Kluyveromyces lactis: one gene and its partner. The protein of the gene in region 1 interacts with the protein of each later gene in a biochemical or structural test. Links are inferred from orthologs where the notes say so. Each region holds a gene or a part of one and is shown on either strand. Other genes may lie near its edges.

Region 1 (3,554 bases):
CATCGCCTCAGCCATTTGAAGGACCAGATCCAGATAAATTAAAAGTTGATCTCGACTTCTTGGAAGGCGATTCTCTGCCCGAACGTGACGATTCTCCAACTAGAAGAAGATCCAGACCGATTCAATGAGTCTAGTCTGATCCACACTTGCGTCCCATCGTAAGGTTCTACTTGCATCAAAGCCGGTTATGTAGCTAAGTACATTCTCAGTTTGTATTTGTATTATTATCATTATTCTGTTACCCGGCTATGTTGATAATGCCAAAATATTAAGGAATAACTGAATCTTTTGGCGGGTGGCAAACCTTTGACAGAAAGATACAACATTGAAGGAATGCAACCGCCTAAAAGACGATATTCACAGGATTGAGTATCATCAGTGAGCAACTGTATCAAATCATTCCCAAATATAATCGAAAATGGATGGAATTCAAGTTGATATGAACCGCTTGAAAAAGGGCGAAGTGAGTCTAGGTACTTCAATGTATGTATCAATAAGGGAACGTTAAGATTCCTCTTTCCCACAATCGAATCAATCGGTTTTAATGATATCAGTGAATACTAACTAAACTTAATTAATGTTAACAGTATGGCCGTGACTTTCAAAGATGGTGTGATCTTAGGGGCAGATTCCAGAACAACTACTGGTGCGTATATTGCCAACCGTGTCACAGATAAACTAACAAAGGTTCATGATAAAATCTGGTGTTGTAGGTCAGGTTCAGCAGCAGACACTCAGGCTGTTGCCGATATTGTACAGTACCATCTAGAATTGTACACCTCACAATATGGAGAACCTACAACCAAGGTTGCTGCATCGATCTTCAAGACATTATGTTACGAGAACAAGGATCATCTCACAGCAGGTATTATAGTGGCGGGCTACGATGAAAAAAACAAAGGAGAGGTGTATAGTATACCTCTTGGTGGTTCTGTGCACAAGCAGTCGTACTCAATTGCTGGTTCTGGTTCTGCTTTCATATATGGTTACTGTGACAAGAACTATAAGGAAGATATGACTAAAGAAGAAACAATCGAATTTGTAAAACATTCTCTATCACAAGCCATCAAATGGGATGGTTCATCTGGTGGTGTCATTAGAATGGTTGTCCTTACTGCTGAAGGTGTGGAACGTTTAATTGTGTATCCCGATGAGTATGAAAACCTGTAGATTAGACGATAAAGCGGTCTTAACCCGTCTTCTGTAAGCAAAAGTATATTAGTTTAAAGAATAAAATTGGTATATAAGAAGAATAAATCTGAGAAACCTCGGTTTCCTTATCATCAAGACCAATCTTAAGGGGCGTTCGGTCCTGAGAGGTATTCTGCCTTCGGCTTTCCATTATTGGTAAACTTTCTCAGTAGTTAAGATTATCAGAAAGGCATTATAAAAAAGTACAACGGATCATTAATACACTCTTAGCTATGCAAAAATATAGAAATGAACTTGAATTGTTAATTGATAGAAAAGCCCAGCAGATATTATGATATAGTAGTATGTCCTTAGAATGTTACATTAAAGATGCACTTCCGTTCGGTCATGAGTTCGAAATCATTAATCTCCAGTCAATTCCACGAGAAACCTCGCCAATAACTTTTCCAAAACGCGAAGCTGAAGACGTTAATGGAAAAACGGTGAAGACCATCAAGACACAACATTTCGTCGCATTATGCTTTGAAGAGAAGGTTGTTTTTGCTCTTGAAATTGTTGTTTATTTCAGTTTGAATTCTGCCAATAATGGTCCCGTAGAAAGGCTCTTGTTCGTCTCCAAAGCAGATACAAACGGATATTGCGATCTAAGACTTGACATTGGTCAGATAACTAAGTCAATAATTGCATATATTCTGGCAATTAGTCCAGGACATTATTTGCGGGCGGTAAAACCGCTGATAAGGAAAGCACTGAGCGGTGCAAAGATTATAAAGAGAAGTACATCAGTACAGAGAGCGTTAGAAATATTATCCAACAGACCGTTGGATTCGAAGGGGATAACTTCAAGGGTTAAAATCCCAGACCAAGATTTATACGTTTCATTCCCGGTTCCGACGGAAATTGTCACAAAGGTAAGTCTTTTTACCAGGGCAGAGCCGCAGTATTTGTTTTCAAACTCATCTAAAAACCCAAGGAAACACGTCCTAAGTGGTGACAAATTGCTCAAATGGTGGTTAAAGATTGTAGACCAAATAGTTGTCGAAGATTTCGATAATAAAACAAAGGCAACCTTACAAATACCGGGAGAAGAGAAAAGAGTAATTTCCAACTATTTGAGAAACACAGCATATCAAAATTGGACCGTAGGAGACATTTTCTCTGAAAGTCCGCAAGACATTGCATTATACAGGATACCATTATTCCCTGATGACCCCAAGGGCAGATTCCTTGACCATCTGATCAGTGATGGACGAATTTCTAAAGTCAATGTGTTAACATTCTGGACAGAATTGCAAGCAAGGCAAGAGTTCAGACTGGGATCAACTGTGTCTGTCATTGGAGTGTCAGGAAAATACATCGGCCGTTGCAATGAACCAGAACGGACTGATATAATTATACCAACCTCGAAGAAGAACTTTAAAAATCTGAAGAACTACATAACTGGAGAAGAATATGACACTGAAGAAGGTGCTGAAGAAGCATACATGAACATTCGAGATATTTTTGACATGCATTACTCCACGAAGATGATAAAAGTTATTGGAAACCACCACAAGATCGCTACTACAAAACGGCCTGAAATAAACACTATTAACGTAATAAACACTCTAAGTGTCCATAGGAAACCTAAATCGTAGTGTGACGGTGCTGATATATATATACTACATAATGGATTCAGGACAATTTGCGCGTACATCACAGCGGATCTCTATATTGGAAGTCAATTTTCAGCAGAAATCAAACAGAGAATAAAAATGTAACAAATTAAATCAAATAAAAATAAAAATAAAAATAAAAATAAAAATAAAAATAAATAAATAAATAATAAAAAATACCTATTGCATTGAGAATAATTATTTGAAATTTGATCCAATGAAATGGTTAAATATTGCGTTTGAGTGTATCTTTGATTGGTTAGATATTAGATGCGATCCTGTTAACCTTAAACTAGTCTATTAGAACGGTTAATTAGGTCGGAGTATAGTACACAAGTAACTCTGAAGATGTCAAGTCTAGAAGATTTGATTCCTACGGTGAATAAGCTACAGGATGTTATGTACGATGCAGGCATTGACAGTTTGGATCTACCGGTTTTAGCTGTTATTGGATCGCAATCTTCTGGTAAGTCTTCGATCTTGGAAACGTTGGTCGGGAGAGATTTCTTACCTCGTGGTACTGGTATTGTTACCAGACGTCCTCTAGTTCTTCAGTTGAATAATATTGATCCGAATTCTCCATTGGTTTATAATTATGACAATTCTTCATCTACGTCACTTGAACAGGTTAATGACGAGCCAGATGCCCGCACGGAGAAGGAAATGACCTTGGAAGATCATTTGAGAAAGAATTCAAACTATAAGCCTGAAATAAAGAATGAATGGGGTGAGTTTTTACATATTCCA
Region 2 (2,900 bases), on another chromosome or scaffold:
GTCCCGACGTTGAGTAACTCATCCTTGACTACAATGCTGGCTAAAGGACCCATCCATAGTCCAAATATACAGGGATTGAACTGCTGTGAAACTGCTATTTTAGAGAGATACCACCTTATCAACTGCTACTTTTGGAGGGTTTACTGTTTTCCCAGCCGGATTGACGATAAAAACGGTAGGATTTTCTCTTTTCGGTATGGGGAACGAAAAATGTACTTTTTCAGAAATTACGGGCGTGTGGCGTAGTTGGTAGCGCGCTCCCTTAGCATGGGAGAGGTCTTCGGTTCGACTCCGGACTCGTCCATTTTCTTTTTTGTCTTGAACGACAACATTGCATTCGAAGCGTATAAAGACCTTCCCTCCAAGCTAGTAGTTGATGCAGTCTTGATTTTTTGGACGCTTCATCGACGTGAGGAAGAGTACCGGTTTGTGTTGGTCAGCAATGTTACAAACGGGATTGAAACGATACTTATGAAAGGTATATAAAAGTGCGTTAATTTGGGAGGCCGCCGCGGGAGGCCAGGACGTGGAAACCGTTACTATTATTTGTGTTGGGTAGTATCCTGCGGCGTAGGCAAATCTGCATCATTCTCACTATCACTTTCTTTTTCTAAGTCTATCTCTTCCGCTTCTTCCTCGTCTTCCTCGTCTTCTTCAGGTCCCAAAGATTCCGCTTGCGATTCACCCTCGTCGTTCTTAACGTCAGAAGCAGTAGATTTCTTTGGATCCCTTTTCAGTTTCTTCTTTTCAGGAGCAGTTTCCTCACCTTCACCATCATCTACATCGTCTTCTTCTGCAAGATCTTCTTCAGCGTCCTCATCTGCCTCTTCATCCTCATCCTCATCCTCCTCCTCTTCTTCCTCTTCCTCAGGCTCTTCTTGTTCCGGAGGATAGAACTCTTCTTCACCCTCATTATCCCAAACGATATTAAACCTAGTAACTCTTGGTTTCTCAGCAAGGATATTTCTCACCACATGATCAATAGGCACTTTCTGAGGTGGGTTCTCTCTCAATTCTTCCAAATCGTATTCGTTGTTTACGTAGTACCCAACCCTTACAAACTCTTTACCATTATAAGAGCACGATAGTAAAATCACAGTAACACTGACCAATTCACTAGCAGGAATCAGATCTGGTGAAGGTGCATCTGCCACGAATTTGAACTTGTTGATACCAACGGGTATAGGACCCACCAGGATAGAATCCAATTCTTGATCATGGTCAAGTGATCTAGAAGAACCAACATACGTCAATTTCCATTCCAAATCGTGTTTTAATGGCTCAAGACATTCAAAAGTGATTTCAAATTCATAAGGGTCTGTGAACTTGGCTGGATTGTTCAATACCTTGATTCCTAAAAGTGATACAATAGACATGACCGAAAAACCGCTGTAACTAATATAATGATCCCTACAGTAACTCTCCCGATGCCTTGATACGTAGTCACTGGATTAACAAAGCTTGTTCTTAGAGCAATGCTTTTGTTAAGGTTATGTGATGTGATGTATAATCTTTTTTTCTATCTTTATATTGAATAGTTGAAAAGTTTAAAAGAAAGCGCGTCGCGTGAAGTTTTCAATCAGACAAAGAAAAAGACCGGTAGGAGAGAACGTTGAATCAACAAGGGCTGCTGTAGGTTGATAACACTCTAACAACAGTAGCTCGATAATAATACGATCAAAAGTTTTATTGAATGAAACAAAAAAAAAAAAAGAGATATAGAAGTGAATATACATACCTTATGTAAAATTGAAGTTCAAGGTGAAGGAAGATGCAATGTAGAGGGGAAGCCGCAGCACGGCCATTTCCCCTTCTTTTTTTTTTGTTACACCGTCAACGATGTATAAGTATTAGATTCTTGTACGAATTCTTGCGACAAAGGTCTTCCATTATTGAGCGAGCCATACGATAGCACGGCCGCAGAGGAAGTAGACGATGATGGTGAATGAGAGCCATCCAATTCAGAGAGAAACTTCGAATCGTGAACCAAAGATTCTTCAAAGTAGTAGATGGATGCAGAAATGCGTACCACTCCGATGGTTAGCACTATGAAACCGAACACAAGCCCTGTGTATAAAATCTCGGCTGTATGCGGTACCAATGAATCGTGATAGAACATTGTACTGTTCAAGATTGTAGTCAAATTATAGATGGAGAACACAAACGGATAAAGGATCGATGTAGAAAGATGAGAAAGCCCTGCGTTCAACAAATACAACTGAGTCAACGAGAAAGTTACCAATACCAAAACGAGCAAGACCATATGTAAAGAGATGGACCATTCAGTAACGATAACGTTCGACACGCATTTGGCAATGAGTAAAGCATGAGCTGACCATATACCACTAGCAAATACAAGCGAAAACCCTTTGACACGTTTCCCGACACCGAAAACACCCACCACAATAGACATGATAGCTAAAGCGTTGGTACCGACAAAATAACGAATAAATTTTTCACTTTGAGCCAATTCGCACAACTCTTCAAACGTATGCGTCAAAGGAGTGTTTATGAACATACATGACATTGAAGCCATGATGGTACCACCAGCACAAACAAAACCAGTGGGAATCAGGGGGAACGGTTCTCGTAGAAGCATATGGGAAAATAAAGAGTTGAAAACCAGGCCAGATGCCTGTAAGGGAGCCAATACGATCAAGGGCAAAGTAGCTATTTGAATGACACAACCGAATAAATTAGCCAAAAGGAAAAGCGAAAACCCCAATTGCCATCTCTTATTCCTATAAACGATTGATCTAGGTGGTACCTTCAGTTCAGAATGAAGGGAAAGAAGTTCCGAATTATTGTAGTGGAACATTTCAATACATTCAGCTTTCCGTTGGAAAACGAGTCCTAATGCCTGTAAGGCATTAGCCACGATAGCAGCCACGACTCCTAGC

What was found.
Region 2: the proteins of RTT109 (region 1) and ASF1 are reported together in a solved structure, tested with the Saccharomyces cerevisiae proteins (3 studies listed by BioGRID, with this or other methods). The link is inferred for Kluyveromyces lactis from reciprocal best matches to the Saccharomyces cerevisiae genes RTT109 and ASF1.

What each region holds. Positions count from the first base shown.
Region 1 is NC_006042.1:1,189,455-1,193,008, reverse strand, and holds RTT109 (H3 histone acetyltransferase RTT109), read left to right. Parts: upstream 1-1,496; coding exon 1,497-2,789; downstream 2,790-3,554. Other genes in the region: SFI1 (Sfi1p), read left to right, coding at 1-128; PRE3 (proteasome core particle subunit beta 1), read left to right, coding at 419-483, 588-1,170; dynamin-related GTPase DNM1, read left to right, coding at 3,156-3,554. UniProt on the Saccharomyces cerevisiae protein: Histone chaperone-dependent acetylase that modifies 'Lys-9', 'Lys-14', 'Lys-23', 'Lys-27', and 'Lys-56' on histone H3 (H3K9Ac, H3K14Ac and H3K23Ac, H3K27Ac, and H3K56Ac) to promote nucleosome assembly, genomic stability, DNA repair and transcriptional regulation during mitotic S-phase.
Region 2 is NC_006041.1:1,330,553-1,333,452, forward strand, and holds ASF1 (nucleosome assembly factor ASF1), read right to left. Parts: upstream 1,377-2,900; coding exon 543-1,376; downstream 1-542. Other genes in the region: KLLA0_E14917g (uncharacterized protein), read right to left, coding at 1,826-2,900. UniProt on the Saccharomyces cerevisiae protein: Histone chaperone that facilitates histone deposition and histone exchange and removal during nucleosome assembly and disassembly. Facilitates histone deposition through both replication-dependent and replication-independent chromatin assembly pathways.